2 linked regions of the Elephas maximus indicus genome follow. The protein of the gene in region 1 purifies or fractionates together with the protein of each later gene. This does not show direct contact. Links are inferred from orthologs where the notes say so. Each region holds a gene or a part of one and is shown on either strand. Other genes may lie near its edges.

Region 1 (12,800 bases):
TAGGGAAATCAAATAGCTGAAAGGATAGGACCTAAACTTAGAGTCACTGAATAGGGTGGCTATGAGAAAAGGACAGGAATCTCCACTTCAAAAGATAGGAGGTATAAAAAGGAAACCCCCTCTAAACTTTCTTAGTTTATAGATTTCCTGAGACTTAACACCATCCCTAAAGAGCTAATTCTGACAATTCAGTTAACCTTTGAAGCAGAGTCAGAATTCCTATAAGAAAATCAACTTTTTCACATATATTAAATGAACTAATAGTTTGAAGAGGAAGAACCAAATAAACTATAGGAATTGTAGTGCAGATCCAAAAACCAAACTATACCCATCCAACTTCTAGTTAAAAATATGGCTGGTATCATTAATATTCTTTTAAAAACTTGGAACGAATAGCTTTTTAGAGGTGTAATAGTTTTAAATGTTAGAATCACAGGATATAAATAGGTACTCTACAACAAAGTAACTACAATAATTTTCTAGAACTTATTCAATTATTTTAGCTTTTATTGGACTTGCCATATTACAATATGAATGTAAGTTGAATTCCATCATTGTAATGAAAACTGTCTTTTTTGGAGGGGTTTAAGTTTTTTTCTTGTTTGAGAGAGAATAAACATTTGGAATTAATTCTAAAACTAGAACTGAGAAAGACAGTGGAAATTGAGAGAAAGTAACAGTACTTTTTAGTTTTAAAAAGAAGAAGTCTTTTAAAGATTTAGTTATAAAGCTAACAGTGAATTTTTAATGACAATGAGGATCATTTTAAGGAGACTGTAGGAACCAAAAGTTTTTTTTTTCTTTTTTGAGATTTAAAAAATTTAAACTATATTTAACATAGCATAAATTATCACAAAATATTACAGTATCTTGCATTTTGCTTAACTGTCAAGATAGGCAGATAAAGGGAATCATATAATAACTTGTACAGTGTTTTTCACATATACATACGTGGTAGTCCTAAGTACCATTCACCAAATATTTCTGGTTTCCCCCCTTCCTGGAATGTCAAAAGACAGTGTTGTCATTGTTAGTTGCTGTGGAGTGTATTCCAACTCATGAAGACCCCATGTATTGCAGAGTAGAAGTAGAGCTGCTCCACAGGGTTTTCAAGGTCGTGACTTTTGGAAGCAGATTGCCAGACCTGTCTTCCAAGGTACCTCTGGGTTGGGTCAAATGACCAACCTTTTAGCTAGTAGTTGAGTGCTTAACCATGTACTACCTGGTTACCTTTCAGTTGTATTGGACATGTGACTACTTGTGGCCAATGAGTTGTGAGCAGAAGTCTTAACCTGAGACCTTCCTATCTTGTCTTTTCCTTCTGGCATGAAGATTAGCAATGTTCAGGATAATGGCTGCTCCATTGGCCTGGATTCCTGAGGGACTCTGATGAGCAAAGCCTTCCTGCTGACCTGTGAAAGATACAGGGCATAAGCAATAAATAAATCTTTGCTCTTTTAAGCAACTAAAATACTATGATCACTGCAGCATCATTTACCCTAGTCTTACCTATACCTCATATTTTTTATTTCACAGGTGGAAAATCAGCTGTGTCTGTGTCTTTGTTAGTATCAGGAATTTGTAAAAATTAATAGTAAAGTAGAATCAAAGCAAGAAAGTTTCTGACAGGGCCTTTTTCTCTCATGGTAGATGTAAATATCACCAAAAAAGTTTCTTAGATGCAGAGGATCTATTTAATTTGTAGTTGACAAAAGAAAAAAGGTTTCTATTCTGAAGTATGTATTTTTGTTGTATCACTAATTATTATTATTAATGGTAAAATCATGTTGTTGCTGTTTTTATGTATCACCCAGTTGGTTCCAACTCATAGCCACCCTATGTACAACAGAATGAAACACTGCCTGGTCCTGTGCTATTCTCACAATCATTGCTATGCTTGAGCTTGCCGTTGCAGCCACTGCGTCAGTCCATCTCATTGAAGGTCTTCCTCTTTTTTGCTGACTCTCTACTAAGCATGATGTCCTTCTCCGGGGCCTGGTTCCTCCTGATAACATATCCAAAGTATGCCATCTTCACTTCCAAGGAGCATTCAGGCTGTAATTTGATCATTTTTCTGGTAGTCCATGGTATATTCCGTATTCACCAACACTGTAACTCAAAGGCACCAATTCTTTTCAGTCATCCTCATTCATCGTCCAGCTTTTGCATGCACATGAAGCGATTGAAAATATCACAGCTTGGATCAGGCACACCTTAGTCCTCAAAGTGACCTCTTTGCTTTTTAACACTTTAAAGAGGTCTTTTGCAGCAGATTTGCCCAATGCAATACATCATTTGATTTCTTGACTTCTGCTTCCGTGGGCGCTGACTATGGATCCAAGTAAAATGAAATCCTTGACTACTTCAATATTTTCTGTTTACCACGATGTTTTTTATTGGCCCAGTTGTGAGGATTTTTGTTTCTTTATGTTGAGGTGTAATCCATACTGAAGGCCACAGACTTTGATCTTCATCAGTAGGGGTTCAAGTCCTCTTGGCTTTCAGCAAGCAAGGTTGTGTCATCTGCATATCACAGGTTGTTAATGAGTCTTCGTCCAATACTGATGCCACATTCTTCTTCATATAGTCTGGCTTCTTGGATTATTTGCTCAGCATAAAGAATACAACCCTGACACACACCTTTCTTGATTTTAAACCACTCAATATCCCCTTGTTCTGTTCAAATAACTCCCTCTTGGTCTATGTCCAGGTTCCACAAGAGCATAATTAAGTGTTCTGGAATTCCATTCTTTGCAATGCTATCCATAAGTTATGATCCACCTAGTCGAATGCCTTTATGTTGTAAATAAAACACAAGTAAACATCTTTCTGGTATTCTCTGCTTTCAGCCAGGATCCATCTGACATTAGCAATTATATCCCTCGTTCTATGTCCTCTTCTGAATCCAGCTTGAATTTCTGGCAATTCCCTGTCAATGTACTGCTGCAAGCACTTTTAAATGATCTTCAGCATAATTTTACTTGTGTGCTATAGTGTTGGATAATTTCTGCATTCCACTGAATCACCTTTCTTTGGAATGGGTACGAATATGGATCTCTTCCAGTCTGTTAATTAGATAGCTGTCTTCCAAATTTCTTGGCAAAGACGAGTGAGCAGCTCCAGGCTGCATCCGTTTGAAGAAACATCTAAAATGGTATTCTGTCAATTACTGGAGCCATGTTTTTCACCAATGCCTTCAGTGCAGCTTGGATTTCTTCCTTCAATACCATCGGTTCTTTATCGTATGCTACCTCCTGAAATGAATGAACATCAACCAAATCTTTTTGGTACAGTGACTCTGTGTATTGCTTCCATCCCTTTTCAATGCTTCCTGCATTGTTCAGTTTCTTGCCCATAGAATCCTTCCATACTGCCACTTGAGGCTTGAATTCTTTCTTCAGTTCTTTCGGCTTGAGAAATGCCAAGCATGTTCTTCCCTTGGTTTTCTAACTCCAGATCTTTGCACATTTCATTATAATACTTTGTCTTCTCAAGCTGCTCTTTGAAATCTTCTGTTCAGCTTTTTTACTTCATCATTTCTTCCTTTTGCTTTAGCTACTCTATGTTCAAGAGCAAGTTTTGGAGTCTCTTGTGACATCTATTTTGGTCTTTTTTCTTTTCTGTCTTTTTAATGGCCTTTTGCTTTCTTCATGTATGCTGCTCTTGATATCATTCCAAACTTGTCTTTGGTCATCAGTGTTCAATGCATCAAATCTATTCTTGAAATGGTGTCTAAATTCAGGTGGGATATACTTGAGGTGGTGCTTTGGCTCTTGTGTACTTTTTCTAATTTCCTTCAGCTTCAACTTGAACTTGCATATTAGCAAGCCCTGGCCTTGTTATGACTGATGATATTGAGTTTCTCCATTTTCTCTTTCCACTGGTGTAATCGATTTGATTTCTGTGAATACCATCTGGCAAAGTCGACATGTATAGTCACACTTTATGTTGTTGAAAAAAGGTATTTCCAATGAATAAGTCATTGGTCTTGCAAAATTTAATCATGAAATCGCCCATGTTATTTCTGTCACCACAGCTTTATTTTCCAAGCACCGATCCTTCTTTTTTGTTTCCAACTTTCGCATTCCAATCACCAGTAATTATCAATACATCCTGATTACATGTTTGTTTAATTTCAGACTGCAGAAGTTGGTAAAAATCTTCAATCTCTTCATCTTTGGCATTAGTGGTTGGTGTGCAAATTTGAGCAATAGTCATATTAACAGGTCTTCCTTGTAGGAATATGGATATTATTCTATCACTGACAACGTTGTACTTCAGCACAGATCTTGAAATATCCTTTTTGACCATGAATGCAGTACCATTCCTCTTCAATGAGTTACTACCAGCATGGTACAAAACCCAGTGCTGTCGAGTCGATTCAGACTGATAGCGACCCTAGAGGACAGAGTAGAATTGCCCCATAGAGTACCCAGCACGGTAGACCATATGATTGTCTGATTCAAAATATACAGTACCCAGTCTATTTCAGCTCACTAATACCTAGAATTTCTATCTTCAAGCATTCCATTTCACTTTTGACAATTTCTAATTTTCCTTGATTCATATTTCATACATTCCATGTTCTGATTATCAACAGATGTTTGTAGCTGTTTCTTCTCATTTTGAGTCATGTCACATCAGCAAATGAAGGTCCCAAAAGCTTGACACAACCCACATCATTAAAGCCGACCCTACTTTGAGGAGACAGCATTTCCCCAGTTGCATTCTGAGTGCCTTCCAACCCAATGGGCTCATCTTCTGACACTATATTAGACAATATTCCATAAGTTTTTCACTGGACAATTTTGTCAGAAGTAGATCGCCAGGCTCTTCTTTCTAGTCTATCTTAGATTGGAAGCTCCACTGAAACCTATGCACCATGGGTGACCCTGATGGTATTCGAAATACTGACAGCATAGCTTCCAGCATCAAAGCAACACATAAGCCACCAGAGTACGACAAACTGATAGATGAGTTGTGGAGTGATAATAATCGTAATAAGAAAACAGTTGTCATGGAGTGAACTCCAACGCATGCTGACCTCACGTGTATTAAAGTAGACTGTGCTCCACAGGATTTTCAATGGTTGGTTTTTCAGAAGTGTATCACCAAGCTTTTCTTCCAAAGTGCCTCTTGGTGGACTCAAACCTCTAACCTTTCAGTCAGCAGCTGTGTTTGTTAACCATTTGTACCACCCAGCAACTCTGGTAATAATAACAGCTACCTTGAATTGAACATGAACATATTCTCTGTTCTGTACTAGGTGCTTAATTCATATTATTTTACTTAAAATCATTTAATCCTCACAACAATCCTAAAAGACATCTATTATTCAAACTGAGTTCTTTCTATCTTCAAGCTGGTATTCTTTCTATTGTGGCAATGGTATTTTACAGTTTACAAAGTGCTTTCACCACACATAATCATATTTCATTTTTGCAGCAACTAATGATGTTGATATTCTTGCCATTTTGCAGATGAGGAAATAGAACTTCAGAGAGTTTTTTCTGACCTGTGGAAGGTCATACAACTAGTAACAAAAGCAGACCCTTGGGATACAAATCTCAAAAATGTAGTGAAAAGGGAGAAATATATTTTTTGCCTTTCCTTAATGCTTTCCTTCAGGCTTCTAATTTACATCAATGCTTTTCACTTTGGGGGAGAAATAACCTAACCCTTGGAACAACTTAAACCCTAGACAATAAATAATTTTCAATTTAATCAAGTCGGTTAAATATTAAGGCAGGGATCAATTAGAAGTCATTGTCTCCATGTTTATAAAGTGCTTTGCAGAAAGCAGTCTGGTGAGAGTTCTGAATGGATTGTCATGTGTATGATTAGATTGTTCACTGAAAGTCACCTACAGCTTATAGAAGACAGCCTTTGTTTCCAAGCAAACAAACTTAAGGTCCCCAGGTGGTCCAAATGGTTTGAGCTTGGCTGGTAACCAAAAGGTTGGCTGTTTGAACCCATCCAGCAGCACCGTGGAAGAAGCAGGCTTGGCTATCTGCCTCCATAAAGATTACAGCCAAGAAAACCCTATTGGAGGAGTTCTAGTCTGTAAAAAATCAAAACCAAACCAAACCCATTTCTGCTGAGTTGATTTCGATTTATAGCGACCATATAGGACAGAGTAGAACTACCCCATAGGTTTTCCAAGGATAGAATCTTAAGGAAGGCGACTGCTACATCTTTCTCCCGAAGAGCAGCATGGGTTCTAATCCACCGGCTGCTCCACAGGAGAAAGATATGGCAATCTGCTTTGGTAAAGATTACAGCCTTCGAAACCCTATTGGGGCAGTTCTTCTCTGTCCTATATGGTCACTATGAGTTGAAATCAACTCATGGCAAGAGGTTTGATTTTTTTTTTTTTTATGTTTGAATATGGCAACTCTCACTTGACCACATAAGTGGAGCTGATTTCCCCAATACACTGATTACCACACTACTGTTTTTCCCACTACCAAACTATATGTGAGACCACACAGAGTTTAAGAGAGGAAGAAGGGAGAAATGATGGTGTAACTCTTCTCGAAGTCTTCTGCATATGTGTCATCTACTTTTACTGAACTTAAAGATAACAGTTGGCATCTCTGAAAGATATTTTCTGCATGCACAGTACCATCTTCATATATTGTGAAACCCTTAGCAGTACAAAAGCTGAGTCTTTTCTAAAAACTCTAATAATACATATTAAGAATAATTTGTCACCAATAATTTGGAGTGACTCTTACTTGGTTTTCCAAAAGACCAGTTTTGTCCCCAAACGTAAATTTCATCATTTTCCCCAAAGTCATCCCTTCTGAGTCATCCTACAGGGAGGTGATTTTCCTCACAGTTCTACAATCCTAATGATAAAGCAGCCCGGTGTTGTCAATTATTTTAGATTTTCCAAGGTAACTCAAGCAAGTCTTTTATGTACACTGCCAAGCATTTTGTATAGTTTTCCAATCCAAATCACTAGGGTCTAGACACTTGGTGAAGTGGGAATTAAGGAACCTGACTGGCTACTGGAAACCCTGGTGGCGTAGTGGTTAAGTGCTACAGCTGCTAACCAAATGGTCGGCAGTTCAAATCCACCAGGCACTCCTTGGAAACTCTATGGGGCAGTTCTACTCTGTCCCGTAGGGTCGCCATGAGTCTGAATCGACTCCACGGCACTGGGTTTGGTTTGGTTTTTCGTGGACTGGCTTCTAGTCCCCACTCAGCTACTGACTAAGCAACTTGGTCACCCAGTCCATCTTCGCTGACCATGTTTTTCTAATCTGCTAAATGTGTGGATTCAAGATTATCTCTAAGCTCCTATTTCTAAAATTCTTTGTATTGCATTCAAAAAAAAATTGCATTAAGCACTGGGAAAAACTTTAACGACAATTAGGCCATGTAACTAATGTGCCAACACACAGTTTTACTTTCAAGGCAAGCCTGAACCAATTTTGAGTAAATAAGAGGGCAGCGAGGCGGGGCTCTAGCAGGAGAAGGTGACAACCGACCAGTAAACTTTTCCAAGGCCAGTCAGCCCTCCACCAGCAGGAAGTGGGTGGGGCCAGGGGCCAGCGTTGACGACAGAAGGCTACTTCCGTCTGTAGTGCGTATGACGTCAGGACCGAGGCGGACGGGTCCAGCCACGGAGAAGCCGAGGAGGAAAGGCTCGCGAGAATCCAAGGAGGCCGTCCCGAGATTCCGGCGCGGCGGCCGGACCCACCTCCGGGGGCGGGGCGAGGGCGGAGCAAGGAAAAAGGAGCGGACGGGCTCCCGGCCGGCTGCGGTCCGAGCGGAGGCTGAGCCGGCTGCGGGCGCGACCGGAGGCAGGTGAGTGCGCGGATGCGGCGCTCCGCAGCCGCGGCGGAGGGACCCGGGCTCGCCGCACCGGCCCTAGCTCTGCGAGCAGAATGAAATCTTATGTATGTTTGAATGTCCAGGGAATGCCGGGCTAATTTCGGGGCTGGAAATGTCTCCGGTGACGCTCTGGCGACGGCCTTGGCCCTCCTGTTCTTCGGGGTGCTGCTGACCCCGTCTGTCCGGAGAGGTAGCCTCGAACCGGGGAAGGAATCTTCGTCCTTCTCTGTTAATTTCCCCTTCCACTCCTCTGCTCCGGAGCACCGCGCTCCTGGTCCCTGCTTGGGCTTCATAAACAATAACAAATGTCGCGGACCGTCTCCTGGCATCCCCTGGTCTCCTGTCCCGTGCCCTCTAGCCTGTGTTACCAAGAGGAAGGTTTCTAGGTACAGCTCTTAAATTGTGGGGGCTGTTTGGTACCATTCCTAAAAACTGATGCGTCAGATAGCTAAACATTTCTCCGATAGACACAGTAAAGCCCCCCAGCCTCAGAAGCCACGGATTGTTCAAAGCCAGTCTTAAAATCTAATCTGTTCCTTCCATTGGTACCGTAGACCCTTCCTTTCAACATCTTTATCTTCCACTCTGTTTTTTTTCACCTTTAGTGTCGGGGACGAACTGGAGTGGTTATTTGGGATGGAAATAAAGATTTAAGTAGGGGACCCTGTTAAGTAGGGGACATTTCACCTTTAAAAAGTTGCCAGGTTGATAGCAAAAGAACAGACTTTATTTTCAAAACCAGTAGCCTCCCGTTTACTGATGCTACTTTTTGTTTTGTGGGACTTCTTTTTGGGTTCTATGTTTGGAGCAATGATTATAAAAAGAAATTGTGTGTGTTGGGGGGAGGTGTGTGCTGTAAGTAGTGGTTTGTCCAGAAGTGTGATGCTGTTGTTGCTCACGTGATAAAATGCAGAATCAACACTCTTGTCTATTTCATGTAACTTGTGATGCGTTTTGATAAAAGCTAATTACTCAAAAAAGGCCTGGGTATTAACTTTATTACTGTTAAAATCTGAGGAAACGACTTTGTTTTAATTTATGCCCCCGGTCATAAAGTGGGAATTGAAGAGTGAGACCCTGTCTTTTTTGGGGGGATGGGGGAATGAGGAGTCTTTAAACTTGTCAGGTCTCCCTACTTTAAAGCAGGGTTGTAAGCCCAGTTTTGCTCACCCCAATGCAGTTTTTTGTCTTAGCCGTATATGTATATAAAACACTGGAAACTGCTTTGTGTTTGACTGGCCTTTCTCTGTATGCCTCCGGGTATATAAAACAATTAAGCTTATTATACTCAGCTCGCAAGTAGCTGAGAGGTATTGTGTGTGAGTTAGCCACTCTTGTGACTCTTGGAGGGAAGAGATGGTAAATTATGTTGGCACTTGTTCATTGCACAGGTTCATCAGGGTACTTTTATCTGAAAAATTCTGATCTCAAAAGCAGTACAATGGTTAAAAAAAAAAAAAGGTTTCACGTGGCTTAGCTTTGTGTTCTCCTTGTTAAGATGGCTGAGAATGTTTCCCATTTAGTTGGGATGTGTTTAGAATGAGAAACAAATTTGGGTGTAGTTTTGTACTCTTTTGAAAAGCCCTGGCACTGGGGAATGAAGAAATTAAACTGAGAAAAACCACATTAAGTGGGTGTAATTCTCCTCTAGCCTCTTGTTTTTGAGAGTTTGTTTTAAAATAAGTCAAAACTCAGGACTGAAGTTGAGGAATATTTGTGCAGGTAAATAGGTGTCCTCAGCAGTTTTTGTGCTGAAAATATTAATTTCAAAAGGTAGAGCAGTGTAAGAACGAAGAACTAAGTTTACTTTCTAGAAAATGATGACAGTTTAAAGCAACTAACTCAATTAAACCATTTGTTTTCAGAAAAATTCTGTTCTCTCAAAGTTAGGGCCGTATCATTGTTAGTGAAGTTAGATAACATACTTTAGAAAGTGATCCGGGATAAGCTAGAGTCTTTTTTTTTTTTTTTCAGTGAAAATATATGCAACAAAACATACACTGCTTCAACAATTTCTACATGTACAGTCAGCGACAGTGTTTACATTCTTCAGATTGTACCACCGTCCCAAAACTATTTCACCATGATTAACACAAACTCACTGCCTCCCTAAGCTTCTCATCTCTCCTTTGGAGTTTTTGACAATTTGATCACATATAGACAAGTCCTTTAAAAGAGTATAATGCTTAATGCAGACATTCTTTACTAATTAGGCTGAACTCTTACTTGGTTCAAAGATGACTTTAACCTCCCGGTTAAAGGTTTCCTCAGGGTAATAATATTAAGGGTCGTCTGGCCTCAGTGGCTCCAGAAAGTTTGGATTCCATGAGAATTTGAAATTCTGTCCTAGAGACTGTTTTTTTTGGTGGCACTTTATCAAAAGGGAAAAGGCACAAATCAAAGCCAGAAAGCTTTGCCTCTCAGTGTAATGTTAAGATGATTTTATTTTACATAAATAATGTAGGGTGAATCAAGCAAGCATGTTGTCATCTACCATTCCTAGGATTACATTAAATCAGCAGATGGGCAAGTTATGGTTAGGTTAGACTTGACATATGCAGAAATTATGCTACTGTACAAAGCACCATGGGCTTTTAGGATGAGATAATGACAGCAAGCTTTTAAGGCAAAAAATTAAAAAAAAAATTTTTTTTTAAAGGTATTCTTGGCCAACTGTTAAAAAACAAGTGAATCTCTCTGCCCTCCCAGTTTTTGTTTAAGTCTTAGAGAATATTTAGCAAAGAATGACCAGTACTTAAGTGCACAGGTTACATAAACCTTCTGTCTCCAGGTAAAGGTTTGCTAGTTGACAGAGTATTGTTGTTGAGAAACTTTAGGGGGGGAAAAAAAAAGAAACAATGAACAATATTCCCTGCCCAGTACACTCAGGTGAGCTGTGGTCTCTGTTTTCAAGGATTTATATTCCAATGGAAAGAAATGTGTTCAAATAACTATGATACACATGCATTTTATGGGGGAAGCCAAGAAGGGAAGGGTTAAGTCCTGCTATACCAATTAAGGAAACCCTGGGTTGGTATAGTGGTTAAGTACTAGGGCTGCTAACCAAAAGGATGGCAGTTGGAATCAACCAGTCACTCCTTGGAAACTCTATGGGGCAGTTTCGCTTTGTCCTATAGGGTCACTATGAGTCGGCATCAACTCAACAGCAATGAGTTTTTGGGTTTAGACCAATTAAGGAAGACTTTGAATAGGAAATAGCATTTGCATAGATGATTTGGGTGACCAAAAAGTCAGCAGTTCGAATCTACCAGGCGCTCCTTGGAAACCCTACAGGGCAGTTCTACTCTGTTCTGTAGGGCCGCTGTGAGTTGGAATTGACTCAGTGGCAATGGGTTTTGTTTTGTTTTGGTAGTCCAATGATAAAGAAGCCCTGGAGGTGATATGGTTAATAGCTTGGCTGCTAACCGAAAGGTTGGCAGTTCGAACTCACCAGTTGCTCCAGTAGGAGAAAGATGTGGCAGTCAGCTTCTGTAAAGATTACAACCTTGGAAACCCTATGGGCAATTCTGCTCTGTCCTATAGGGTCCCCGTAAGTCAGAATCAACTCCACAGCAATGGGTTTAGTCATATAATAATGATAATAAGCAAACATTTAAATGTACTACTTGTTCACCTGGGCTTAATACTCACAACAGCCATACAGAGTAGTTATTTTAATTATTCCTCTTTTGCAGATGGGGTAACTGAGATACCAAAGCCATATAGCTAGTTAAGTGGCAGAAGCGGGATGACAACCCAGGCGTTCTAGCTTAACCCTGTATTCCTGTGCTTAACTGCTAAAAAGAGCTCCAAAGCAGTGATAACCCAGGTACCTATGTTATCTTGGGCATGTTAGATATTGAGTCCATTTTTGGAAGTTGCTCTTGGTGTAAATTAAATATCACCATGGAGTGGGACTTCTGATAAATTTGACTTATATTACTTACTAACATCCCCATAAGGATTTAGAATTAAGAAGTTATAACTATATTAACTTCTTTGCCTAGTAAAACGTTTGAATCACTGAATATTTTGACTTGTAATTTTTTTGGCCACTTGGCGTTGGGCATGCTTTCGATTTAAGTGTGAAGTTGGGGTTTAGTTAATGATTGCATGGCCCTTTTAGTTTTTATTTCCACAAACATCTAAATTTGTAATAGCTGAAACAAGGTTTTGAGAGATGAGTGTTGTACATGTATAAAATGAGAAATTCAATCACCCATTTTTTTTATACGTTGTATTGGGAAATTTTGAAAGCTCTTTGAGATTGTAAAATAAAAGATAATGAAGGATATCATTGCTAATGTTGGATGGATCCTGTGTGAAAGTAGAGAATACCAGAAAGATGTTTACCTGTGTTTTATTGACTATGTAAGGGCCTTGGACTGTGTGGGTCATAAGAAATTATGAAAAACATTGCGAAGAGTGGGAATTCCAGAACACTTGATTGTGCTCATGCAGAACCTGTACATAGATCAAGAGATAGTCCTTCGAACAGAACAAGAGGATACTGTGTGGTTTAAAGTGAAAAGGTGTGTGTCAGGGTTGTATCCTTTCACCATACTTATTCAATCTGTATGCTGAGAAGCTGGACTATATAAAGAAGAACGGTACATCTGGATTGGAGGAAAACTCAACAACCTGTGATATGCAGATGACACAACCTTGCTTGCTGAAGTGAAGAGGACTCGAAGCACTTACTGGTGAAGATCAAAGACTACAGCATTCAGTATGGATTACACCTCAACATAAAACAGAAATCCTCACTACTGGACCAATAAGCAACATAATGATAAACAGAGAGAAGATCGAAGTTGTCAAGGATATCATTTTACTTGGATCCACAGTCAACACCCATGGAAGCAGCAGTCAGGAAATCAAAAGACGCATTGTATTGTGCAAATCTGCTGCAGAAGACCTTTTTAATGCTAAAAAGTAAGTATGTCACTTGAAGGACT
Region 2 (12,834 bases), on another chromosome or scaffold:
TCAGTTGTGGGGGCAGGGTTCAAGGAGTGCAGGGGGCTGCCTGGGGCCCTCAAGCTCCCTGGGTCCTCCACCGGCCAGGCTGGGGCCTGCCCAGAGGACTCTCTGAACTGGCTCCTGGCTGGTGCCCAGCCTCTAGGCCGTGAACTGCCCTCCTGCTAGGGGCCATTGAGCCAGGTGGCAAGCTGTGCATGTTTGTTTCTGTAGGGCACATTTCCTCAAGAGAAGATGTACAAGGGAAACAACTGCTTTAAGTAGAAATTAAAGGTTTTGTTTTTTCTGTTTTATTTTTTCTGCAGCGGGGCTGCGCTTTAGAGTAAGGTGACCTGGGGTTTGAATCCTAGGACCTCTCTGAATCTCTGGGGGTCCCATGCAAGGATGGGCTGGGGGTGTGGGCGGGGGGTGGGGCAGCTTGGTGTCCCCCCATGGGCTTCCTGCTTCCTGGCTCTGTGTGGTTTTGGGGAGGATAGGCAGTAAGCAGGACATAGGGGACCTTCACCTGCTGCCCCCATCCTCTCCTTTAGGGTGCAAGGGTCTGCTCCACAGGGAGCCGCTGGGACTGGGTTCATAAGTGAGATCAGTAACCTCCTGTCTACCGGGGGCTGTAGGGCCAGCAGGGAGCCCTGTGCTGAGTGAACATGATCCCGGGGCAGGGGGCCTCACTGTGTGGGCAGAGCCTCAGCTGGAGTTGTGCTGGAGCCTGTTGTGAGCAGTTCCTCGGCAGGCACTCACAGAGGGCACCGAGAGAGGAGCGAGTGTGTGGTCCAGGCAAGCACAGGGAGGACTGCCCTCCAGCCTGCCAGTCTGCCCAGGAAAGCCTCCTGAAGTCCCACACCCCACCCCCCGAGCCCTTTCCTCAGGGGCAGCGGGCCAGTGGTTCCTTTCTCCCCAGCCGCTGCTGGCCCCTGCCCAGAGGCACCTCCTTCCCTGCGCACAGGCCCCTGAGAAGGGGGAAGGGTGCGATTCCCAGCCAGGAGGGCCCAGTGACAATAGTCATCCTGGATTTCCTTCTGAGAGTCCTCTCCCCAGGCTTGAGGCTTATGAGGAATGGCTCCTATGTCCTGACCTCCTGACCAGGCGTGCTCCCTGACCAGGTGCATACCCTGACCAGGTGTGTTCCCTGACCAGGTACACACCCTGATGAGGTACGCACCCTGACCAGGTGTGCCCCCTGACCAGGTACATGTGCCCTCGCTGTAGCTGCTCCTCTCCTCCCAGGTGTAGACAGGGAGCAGCAAGGCTAGCCATACCAACACTGACTGTGAAACAAGGGCTACTGGGTGTTCTCACTGGCATTGTTTGAGGACCTGGGGACTTTGTGTTGGTGATGACAGCATTTGGGGCTGTTTTACCCCCCATTTGCACTCGGGCCTGGCTGCATCTAGCCTAGGAATGTGGTCCCATTGTGGGGCTCCCTCAGCCAAGCAGGCATTTTGTCGAGGGGGTGCTTGTGTTCTCAGGGGCTGGACACTCTGGAGGCTGTCACCACAGTGAAGGCACACCTGTACCTGACTCAGTGGCCAAATGATGACAGTGCACACACTTGAGTGCAGCTTTCTGGGCCCTTATGTCTGGCAACTGTTGGCTATGGGCACAGTCACACGGAAGCCCAGTAACGCGGGGAGCTGAGCCTGTACCTGAGGAAGGGGTTCTCGGGGCATCTGAGCCAGCTGGTGTCAGGGCTCTCACCTGGGGGGGTACGCACATGGCTACACATAAGCACCAATACCACTGCTGCCCTCCCGGGGAACAAGCTGCCACGAGCTGGCAGGGCAGCTGTGCTTCCACAGCTAACCATGTTGGGTGTGTGCTGGCCAATGGAGCGCCCCTCAAACGTCAGAGTTGACAAGTTTCTAGAGCCTTGGGGGGCAGCACTAAATCAAAGAGCAGGAGAGCAAGCAGTGCCCTGTAGCGATGTGTCGTCACCAAGGCAGGAGGCAGGCGTGCAGAAAGTTGAAGACCAGTTTCTCATTGTCATTTAAAAACATGTATCTTAAATATGGCATCTTAAATAGTTAAATCCCCCTTGCCTAGCAGTTTCCTGGAATTTTAAATTATTACAGCCATCAGTAATTGTTACGGTGTAAACTTTCTTTTTAAAAATAGACACGTAACATGAAAAGTTCTCATTTCCTGTGTTTTGTTGGGAAAACCAATGTTGTCAGGTCTCCAGCGCGTTAATATTTAGTTGGAAGATGGCTGACTTTGTAATCCCAATCCCCACCTTGCATGTTCCCATGTGTACACAGAGACACCCACCCTGTTGAGAGCCAGAAGCTCTGGGGATGAAGGAGAAAACAACAGTGATGTTTGCTTAGGATAAATATAGGTAAATATGTTGTAAAGAATGTATTTATAAATATTTACAAAATTCCTGAGGGCTTGTTGCTATCCTCAGGAGCCCTGGAAGCTCTGAGCAGGGTGGTAGGTGAAGCGTCTGGCTTGGCTTGCTTCTCCGTCATAGGAAGCATTCAGTCAGCATTTGTGAACACCAGGTGCAACATGTCTAGCAGCCCTGCTCATACTGAGGTCTGTCCACCGTGGGCCGTTTCCACCCACGTGACTCTGAAGAATGTCTCTGTGGTTGCGCTCAGGGCCGTTGCTCCTGAGTTTGAGTTTTAGCTCTGCCATTTCCCAGCTGCCCCATTTCTTGGGTGGGGAAAGGAGGGATTTCATGCCTTTTGCACAGGGTCTGTGGAGGTAACACGGGAGGTAACCTTCAGCTCACACCTCCTGGGAGCCCGTCAGAGCTCCCCAGCAGCACCCACAGGAAAGGACATACAAGGGTGAGCCCTTGTTTAGCTCTCTGATCTATCCTGAATTAATTTGTGTATGGTGTGAGATAGGGGTTGAGTTTTGTTATTTTGTTTTTTCCTTTTCCCAGCACCATTTATTGAAAAGACTCCTTTCCCCCAGTTTGTAGTTTCCTTAGAATTTTGTATACACACAGTCATGCTGTTTGTCAAACAAGGCAGCCTTTTCTTTTTCCATATTTATGTCTTGTCTTTTTTTTTCCTCATTTGCACTGGCTAAGACATCCAGTACAATACTAAGCAGAAGCAGTGAGAATAAACATTCTTGCCTTGTTCTTGATCTTCAGCTGAAAATGTTGTCTTTCAGCTACGTGTTTGATGTTAGTTATAGATTTTTCTGTAGGTGCCCTTTATCTGTGGAGGATGTTCCCTTCTATTCCTAGTTTGCTGAGACTATATTATACATGGGTGCCGAATTAGTTTGATGAGACTTTATATTATACATGGGTGTCGAATTAGTTTGCTGAGACTATATTATACATGGGTGTTGGATTAGTTTTCTGAGACTATATTATACTTGGGTGTCAGATTAGTTTTCTGAGACTCTATATTATACATGGGTGTTGGATTAGTTTGCTGAGACTCTATATTATACATGGGTGTTGGATTAGTTTTTTGAGACTCTGCATTATAAATCGGTATTCAGTTTAGCCATGTGCTTTTTCTGTATCTAATTGAGATGATCATATAATTTTTTCCCCCTGTATTCTGTTGATGTGGTGAATTACATTGACTGATTTTCAAATGTTAGCTAAGCTTAAATTCCTAGAATGAACCTCTTCTGGATATGATGTATTATCCTTTTTATTTATTATAAGCCACCACGTGTCTGTTGGTTTGTTGTACTATGGTAGCTTGTGTGTTGCTGTGAAACTTGAAGCTATACTGCTAGTATTTCATATACTAGCAGGGTTACCTGTGGTGGACAGGTTTCAGTGGAGCTTCTAGACTAGGACTAGGAAGAAGGACCCGGCAGCCTACTTCTGAAACAGTTGGCCTGTGAAAACCTTACGAATAGAAGCGGAACATTGTCTGATATAGTGCTGGAAGATGAGCCCCTCAGGTTGGAAGGCACTCAAAAGATGACTGGGGAAGAGCTGTCTCCTCAGAGTAGAGTAGACCTTAATGGCATGGATGGAGTCAAGCTTTCATTTGCCAACGTGGAACAACTCACAGTGAGAAGAAACAGCTCTAAACTATAATCGGAACATGGAATGTAGGAAATATGAATCTAGGAAAATTGGAAGTTGTCAAAATGAAATGGAATGCATAAAAATCAATATCCTAGGTATCAGTGAGTTGAAATGGATTGGTATTGGCTGTTTGAATCAGACAATCATATGATCTACTATGCTGGGAATGACAAATTGAAGAGAAACGGTGTCGTATTCATTGTCAAAAAGAACATTTCAAGATCTATCCTGAAGTACGGTGCTGTCAGTGATAGGATAATATCTGTAAGCCTACAAGGAAGACCATTTAATATGATTATTATTCAAATTTACACACCAACCACTAAGGCCAAAGATGAAGAAATTGAAGATTTTCACCAACTTCTGCAGTCTGAAATTGATCAAACATGCAGTCAAGATGCAGAGATAATTGCTGGAGATTGGAATGCGAAAGTAGGAAACAAAGAAGGATCTGTATTTGGGAGATATGGCCATGGTGATAGAAACTACATGCATGATAGAATTTTGCAAGACCAACTGCTTATTCATTTCAAATGTCTTTATTCAACAATGTAAACAGCAACTGTACATGTGAACCTCACCAGATGGAAAACACAGGAATCAAATCAGCCACAGCTCTGGAAAGAGACAGTGGAAAAACTCAGTATCATCCGTCAGAACAAAGCCAGGGGCCACCTGCAGAACAGAGCATCATTTGCTCAAGTCCACGAGGACCAAAATACGACCTTAAGTTTATCCCATCTGAATTTGGAGACCATCTCAAGGGTAGATTTGTTGCACTGAACACTGATGACTGAAGACCTGACAAGTTGTGGAATGATATCAGGGACATCATTCATATAGAAAGCAAGAGGTCATTAAAAAGAAAGGATAGACCAAAATGGATGTCAGAAGAGACTCTGAAAGTTGTTCCTGAATGTCAAGTAGTGAAAATGAAAGGAAGAAATGATGAAGTAAAAGAGCTGAACAGAAGATTTCAAAGAGCTACTTGAGAAGACGAAGTATTATAATGAAATGTGCAAAGAACGGGAGTTAGAAAACCAAAAGGGAAGAACACACTAGGCATTTCTCAAGCTGAAAGAACTGAAGAAAAATTCAAGCCTCAAGTTGCAATACTGAAGGATTCTGTGGGCAAAATATTGAACAATGCAGGAAGCATCAAAAGAAGATGGAAGAAATACACAGAGTCACTGTACCAAAAAGAATTGATTAATGTTCAGCCATTTCAGGAGTTAGCGTATGATCAAGAATTGATGGTATTGAAGGAAGAAGTCCAAACTGCACTGAAGGCACTGGCACAAAAAGAAGGCTCCAGGAATTGACAGGATCCCAACTGAGATGTTTCAACAAACCAATGCAGTGCCAGAGGTGCTCACTCGCCTATGCCTGGAGATTTGGAAGACATCTGCCTGGCCAACCGACTGGAAAAGATCCATATTTGTGCCCGTTCCAAAGAAATGTGATCCAACAGAATGCAGAAATTATCGAACATATCATTATTATCACAGGCAAGTAAAATTTTGATGAAAATTATTCAAAAGTGGTTGCAGCAGTACATCGATAGGGAACTGCCAAAAATTCAAGCCAGATTCAGAAGAGGACATGGAATGAGAGTTATCATTGCTGATAGATGGATCTTGACTGAAAGCAGAGAATACCAGAAGGATGTTTACCTGTGTTTTAATGACTGTGCAAAGATATTCGACCGTGTGGATCATAACAAATTATGGATAACATTGAGAAGAGTGGGAATTCCAGAACACTTCATTGTGCTCATAAAGAACCTGTACATAGACCAAGGGGCAGTTGTTTGGACAGAACAAGGTGATACTGCATGGCTTAAAGTTAGGAATGGTGTGCGTCAGGGTTGTATCCTTTCACCATGCCTATTCAATCTGTATGCTGAGCACATAAGCTGAGAAGCTGGACTATATGAAGAAGAACAGGGCATCAGGATTGGAGGAAGACTCTTAACAGTCTGCAGTATGCAGATGACATAACGTTGCTTGCGGAAAGCAAAGAGAACCTGAAGCACTTACTGATGAAGATCAAGGAATACAACCTTTCAGTATGGATCACACGTCAACATGAATCAAAAATCCTCACAACTGGACCAATAAGCAACATCATGATAAATGGAGAAACAGTCGAAGTTGTCAAATATTTCATTTTACTTGGATCCACAATCAATGCCCATGGAAACAACAGTCAAGAAATCCAACGGTTTATTGCATTGGAGACCTCTTTAAAGTACTGAAAAACAAAGATGTCACTTTGAGGACTAAGGTGTGCCTGACCTAAGCTGTGATGTGTTCAGTCACCTCATATGCATGTGAAAGCTGGTCAGTGAATAAGGAAGACTGAAGAATTGATGGCTTTGAATTATAGTATTGGCGAAGGATATTGAATATACTGTGGACGGCCAGAAGAATAAACAAGTCTGTCTTGGAAGAAGTACAGCCAGAGGGCTCTTTGGAAGTCATGGTGGCAAGACTTCTATCACGTACTTTGGACATGTTATCAGAAGGGACCAGTCCCCAGAGAAGGACTCATGTTTGGTAAGGTAGAGGGTCAGCAAAAAAGAAGACCTTCAACAAGATGGATTGACACAGTAGCTGTAGTAATGGCCTCAGATACAGCAACGAGGTTGTGAGGATGACGCAGGACTGGGCGGTATTTTTTTCTGTTGTACATGAGGTCGCTGTGATGGGAACCGACTCTGACGGCACCTAACAGCAACAACAACATAGATTTGAATTGCAAGTATTTTGTTATGGATTTTTGCATCTATGTTCATAAAGGATGTTAGTCTGTAAATTTTCTCTTTAGTTAGTATCCCTGTCTTATTTTGGCATAAGGGCTCTGCTAGCCTCCTGGAATTAGTTGGAAAATGCTTCTTTCTCTGTTTTCTGAAAGAAATGTGTAAGGTTGGTACTTTATCTTTCTTTTATATATTTAAAAAAAGAAAAAGTTGCCTTCGAATCGATTCTGACTCATAGCAACGCTATAGGACAGACTAGAACTGCCCCAAAGGGTTTCCAAGGAGCAGCTGGTGGATTCAAATTGCTCACCTTTTGGTTAGCAGCCAATCTCTTAACCACTGTGCCACCAGGGCTCCCGTTCTTATGTATCTGATAGAATTCACTTGTAAAGCTACCTGCATGTGGCATTTTCTTGTAGGAAGGTTTTTAATTATAAATTCAGTTTATTGGCAGATAGGGGCTATTCATATTTTCTCTTTATTCTAAGAAGGTCAGCTTTGGTAACTTGTGTTTTTCAAAGAACTTGTCTACCTCATCTAAATTTTCTGTTGGCATATAGTTTTCGTTATAGCCCTGTGTTATCCTCTCAATGTCTGTAGGATCTTAGTTTTGTGTCCCCTCTGTCATCTCTGATATTGGTCATTTTATGTCTTTCCGTCTTCCCTGCCCATCAGTCTAATCTAGCTGTGGAATTTGTCAATTTTCCTGACCTTTTCAGAGCTAACTTTGTGATGAATTTTTCTTTATTATTTACCCATTTCTATTTCATTGATTTCCGGTTTTTATTTTCTTCCTTCTACTTAATTCAGGTTTGATATGCACCCCTTTTTTCTAGCGTTTTAAGATGGAAGTATAGCTCATTGATTTTAAATCTTCTCTGACAATATAAACATTTATAGATATAAATTTCCCTCTCTGAGCTTTGCTTTACCTGCATCCCACAAATTTTGATAAGTTATGTTTTTATTTTCACCTTTTCTTTGCTTGGTTTCATCTTTTGTTAAGGCTATCCCATAAAACTTTCATTTCAGATACTGTATTTTTTAAGTTCTAGAATTTTCTGTTCTTTTTTGTAGTTTCCATGTCTTTTTTGAGGGTACTAATCTTGTTGCTCATTGTGGCCATCTTTTCCTGGAAATCCTTTCATATATTTATAGCAGTTGTTTTAAAGTCCTTGACAGTCACTTCCAGCATCTCTGTCATCTCTGGGTCTGTTTCTGTTGACTCTTAGAGTTTTGTGGGTTATGGGTTACATTTTTCTGCTTCTTCACGCATCAAGCTTGTTTTTTTTTTTTTTGGTATGCCAGATACTGTGGAGACCATGTTGTTGAAATTCTCAGTGTTGTTGTCCTCTTTTAAAGAGCACTGTTCGTTCTGGCAGAAGGTGGATTTACTGTTGGTTCGGTGGGTTGGTTTAAGCTTTAGTGGGGCAGGTCTAGGGAAACCCTAGCTCTGGGGCTGCAGTAGCCCTACTCCCCCGGCATGGCTTTTGTGGAGTGTTCCTGAATGTCCCACGGCTCTCCGCCCTGACAGTTGGAGTGCCCATGTCCTCTTGTCTTACGTAGCCTCCAGAATTTCCCTTCAGCTCGCGGCTCCTGTGTAGCTCCTCTTTGCCAGGTTGTGTGGCAATTCACTCTGCACATGCTCAGCTCGGTGGCCGGCATGAGTGAATCCATGGTCGTGTTGCAGGTTTTTTTTTCTGTGCAGCTCCATCCTTTTGGGTACCTTGCCTGCACGCTTCTGCAGTCAGCAGCCCTGGGCGTCCACTTTGGCTTCCTCTGCTTAGGAAGACCACGGTGCTCTGGGTGCATCTCCCCATCCGGCACCGCGGTCTGGAAGGCCAGGGCAGTGCTGATCGCTCATACGCCCCCCTTAGGTCCCGCCCAGCGTCTGAGAGCAGTTGCTCAAGCCTTTTGACCAGTTCATAGGTGTAGATGGTGGTTCTGTCGTGAGCTGAAGTGGAAATCTCTTTGTTCCGTTTTTACCAAAGAAAGTTCCTCCTTTGTCACGTCTGTTTCTCCACTGGGCTTGTTGTGCTCCTTCGAGTCCAGACTTCGTTTCAATAACAGTTTATCTGTTATATCTTATTCCATTTTGTGTTCTTTTGCCTCTCTATTCAAAGCTTTTCTTAAATCACTTTATTCCTGAGATTTTTTAATTCTTCTTTATCAGGTTGGTTTTCACCTCTTTTATGCACGTGTCTTTCTCGAGTTGTTGTCACTGGAGTGTTCTCTTTCTTCTCTTCTCTTGTAGTAACTCCTTAAGGGATTCCGCCATGCTTGCTCTCAAGTGAAGTGAGTTTCCCTGCACCCTTTGGAGGGATGCTGGTTGGGGATCACTGTGCTGACTTCGCAGCTCTGGAGTACCTCGGTTGTTTTCACAAAGCAATGAAAAGATAGGTGGCCCCTCCATGCTTCTGACTGTTGGCATGGGAGTTTACGGATAAGCTGGGGGAGGAGACTGGAACCATCTATGTGGCAGTGAGACACTAGCCTGATATCGATACAGACGATTACATATGGAAAATTTATAAATACGTGTATATCATGGGGTTAGTGTACACACGTATCACCTTGCCCTGTCAGCTGAGAGGACCTAGAAGCAGTGACACTCCAGTGGCAACGAGCACACCCGGCGCCCAGGTCTTGATCTCTGCACTGTTCTCCAGTAAAGGAACCAGGGCACCTTGAAGAAATAGCTGTATTGGGGGCTGGGGCAGGAAACTCACAAGAGGAGCCTGGAACCTCGTGAAATGTGAGAATGCAAGAAAGTGCAAAGAAAGAGACAGCGAAAGACAGACAGACAAACAGCAGACAGACATAAAACCCCCAAACAAACCCCACAGTGATGGGATATGTCAAAGGGACACAGGAGCCAGTTGAAAGAGCCCCCAGTGGCCAAAACTGGGACAATTTGATTAACAAAATACATGATGTAGTACTGGGTTATAACCCAAAGTATAAAATGAATGTCTGAGAACCCATACTGACATAAACAAATGTTTGAATAAATAAATACTCAAGGGAGAAGAGACAAATCTCCCCTGCAGAAGGATCCCAGGTCATTTATATGGATAATCCACCCTAAGGAGGGGGAGGGCAAGTCCTCAGTCCTCGAGTCTGGGCTGCACAGAGTGACTTCCAAAGAGGCCAGTGGATAAGGGTGGGGGTAACTTTATGGTGGAGAAGCCTGGCAGACACTCCCTCAGCCAGGTGATCAAGGTGAGCACCCACAGTGAGGTTATGTGGTTGGCCTGTGCCCTTCACATGTGATGAGAGGACATTTACCTCTGGGGTCATCCTCCAGCACACCCGTAACTTCAGTCTAACCGTGAGAAAAGGTTCAGACCAACCCTACTGCAGGCAGAGTCTGCAAGATACCTGACCCCTTCTCAGCACAGTCAGGAGCATCAAAAACAAGGAGAATTCAAGCAGCCATCCGAGCCCAGAGGAGCCGAAGGAGACACGACAACTAGATGTGACGTGGTGTGCTGGGTGGGTCCCGAGATCCGACTAGATGTGACGTGGTGTGCTGGGTGGGTCCCGAGATCCGACTAGATGTGACGTGGTGTGCTGGGTGGGTCCCGAGATCCAACTAGATGTGACGTGGTGTGCTGGGTGGGTCCCGAGATCCGACTAGATGTGACGTGGTGTGCTGGGTGGGTCCCGAGATCTGTGCTGCTGTCAGAAGAGCGGGGCAGGGCTTGCCACGTCTCAGGGCACAGTGCCTGGTGCTGTTTTAGCTGCAGAGTATTCTAAGAATAGTGCTCAGTGGCTGTGTTGGTAGGGCCTTATTTTAGCGTGAGAAATCATTTTCTGTAAACGTAACTCAGTGATGAAGGAGGCCTCGCTACCTTCCTTGTTCCCTCGGCGTGCTTGCATAGACAGGATGGAGGCCCTGATCTTAGATGGCTGCTCTGTGGGCCCCACAGCCCTGCCCACGCCTGTGTGTTGTGGAGCACCTGGCAGGTCGGCTCTCCACCTGTTCGCACCCAAGGCCGTTGACTCCTGCCTGAGTCTCTTGGCACCTGTGTGGTGGGAGGGCTGAGCAGAGCCACCCGGAGTGGGTGTGCTCTTGTCAGAAGTGCTAGGCTGCAGCCCCATCCTGGCTTACCCGACCTACCTTACCCACTGGTCTCTGCCGGCTGGTGGCCACACACGTGTCCACCCAGGCCAGGCCCTCAGGACAGGAAGCTCCAGGGTGGACACCACCTTCCCGATACCTGCATCCCTTCTGGCCAGCGGTTAGCACCTTGTCTGGGCCCAGAGCCCTTTCCGAGCCTGGATGGGTTCCTCTGACTTCAGAGATCACGTATTGAATGTCATGGGGTGTGAAAAGGTGTCCTGGGAAGCACCTGCTTGGAAGTCAGGCCCATTGTCTGTCTCCTGTGACTGCTTGCTCTGCGTGTGTGCACCTGTAAGATGGACACCCCGCTGTGGGGGATGAGCAGAGCACTTGGGGTGTTTTGTCGCCCCCTCCCCACCCCCTCTCACTTCTCTGCTGGTCATTCTTGCCCACCGTGCTGCCGGGATCTGGGTTCTATGCCTGCAGCATCAACAGGGGCAGCAGGCACACCCCCACGACATAGATGCACGAGGCGCCTGGTCCAGTGGTGTCCGATGGTGACTGGCACATAGGGGGAGCTCACCCCAGGTCAACAGCTCCTGCAAACAGTGGGGTCAGAGCTGGGCAGGATGAGGGGCACTGTCCTGACTGTCGGTGCTTCCTGCTCCTGTGCGCTCAGCTGCAGAGAAGACCCCCTGCCACCCTCGAGAGCCGGTGTCCTGGGCTTGCACAAGGGCCTCACACAGACTTGAGTGCATTGTCACTTCACCATCGGCATGGCTGGGCCCCCTGGAACCGCGATGGACTTTGTGGTGGGTGTGAACTCTGGGAGGTGCAGGCCCTGAAGAAAGGCTGAGGGACTGAGTGCAGACATAGTCGCCGGTTTCCCCTTCACTTGGGGCCTGCCTTGAGCAGTGCATCCATCTCCTCGCCCACCAGCCTGTCCTCTTCACAGAGCTTCCCTGTCCTCGCTGGAGCCTGCATCAGGGGCTGCTGTGCTCAGAGGGCCTTGGTGGGCTCAGCCAGCACCCTCCCGGTGCTGGCTGGCTAGGGCTTGCAGCCAGCTCTATCCTCCCACCCACCTGGCCTGAAAGGCTGGCTGGGACACGCCCTTATTTCAACAGCCCAGCCCTGCCTCCTGCTGAGGAAGGCACAGCTGTCCGTGTGCCCTCAGCCAGAGCCCCTCCCTCTGCCATGTCCTCATTGGCTGGGGGCAGAGGGAGGGGATGGCCCAGCACTGGGGCCACTTGTCAGCTCCGCAGGGAGGGAGCCAGAGCGACTGGCTCCAGTGTCCCGTCCCCCACTCCCAGCCCCACAGTCTCCTGACCATGCTTGGCGACCACGGGACTCTGCCTGCAGACCGAGGTCTGTACAGCCCTGCCCCCAAAACAGGACTCAGCTGCAAAATGGTCCTCCGGGCCGTCGGCAAAGTGCTCAGGTACCAGCCCCCTGACCTGCGAGTTGGAGGGGCGGGGGTGGGGCAGGGCTCCTTTGGCTCTTGTCCCTCTCCCCAGGCAGTCAGTCTGGGGGCATTGACTGTGTTGCCCGAGGCCCAGTAGCTAGCTGGTGGCTAAGCAGTGCCAGGCCCTGGTGGACCTCCGGCGGGATAGGGAGGCGGCAGCTGTGTGTGCCCCAGCCTGGCCGGCATCTCGTTCCCCGTGTTCCCTGTTCCCAGAGAGCCCGTGGATTTCATCCAGAGCTGGACTGTGGGCAGCTGCTCAGTGGGCAGCTTCATACACATGGGGGCGGCGGGGTAGAGGGACAAGCTGAAGACTGAGCCCTGAATGAGTGACTGTCCTGCCTTTTGGAGCTACCTGATCCCTTGACCATGGGGTTCTGTCCTGCCCCCCCCCCCCAAGCCCACTGGTCTGCTCTTCAACACCAGGTGTATCCAGCTGTTGTCACTGGTCAGTGGCTGCTTGTCTCCAGGGGTCCAGGCGTCCTTGAGAGAAGCAGGGTGGGCACCTCAGTGTCTGCTCGCAGAGAAGCCCTTTCTAGAAGTTT

The links.
Region 2: the proteins of STK38L (region 1) and MOB2 purify together in Homo sapiens (affinity purification with mass spectrometry; 9 studies listed by BioGRID and IntAct, counting the BioPlex papers as one, with this or other methods). This does not show direct contact. The link is inferred for Elephas maximus indicus from reciprocal best matches to the Homo sapiens genes STK38L and MOB2.

Annotation. Positions count from the first base shown.
Region 1 is NC_064822.1:85,967,855-85,980,654, forward strand, and holds the start of STK38L (serine/threonine-protein kinase 38-like), read left to right. Parts: upstream 1-7,663; 5' UTR 7,664-7,815; intron 7,816-12,800. UniProt on the Homo sapiens protein: Involved in the regulation of structural processes in differentiating and mature neuronal cells.
Region 2 is NC_064825.1:136,423,902-136,436,735, forward strand, and holds the start of MOB2 (MOB kinase activator 2), read left to right. Parts: upstream 1-7,919; 5' UTR 7,920-12,056; coding exon 12,057-12,268; intron 12,269-12,834. UniProt on the Homo sapiens protein: Stimulates the autophosphorylation and kinase activity of STK38 and STK38L.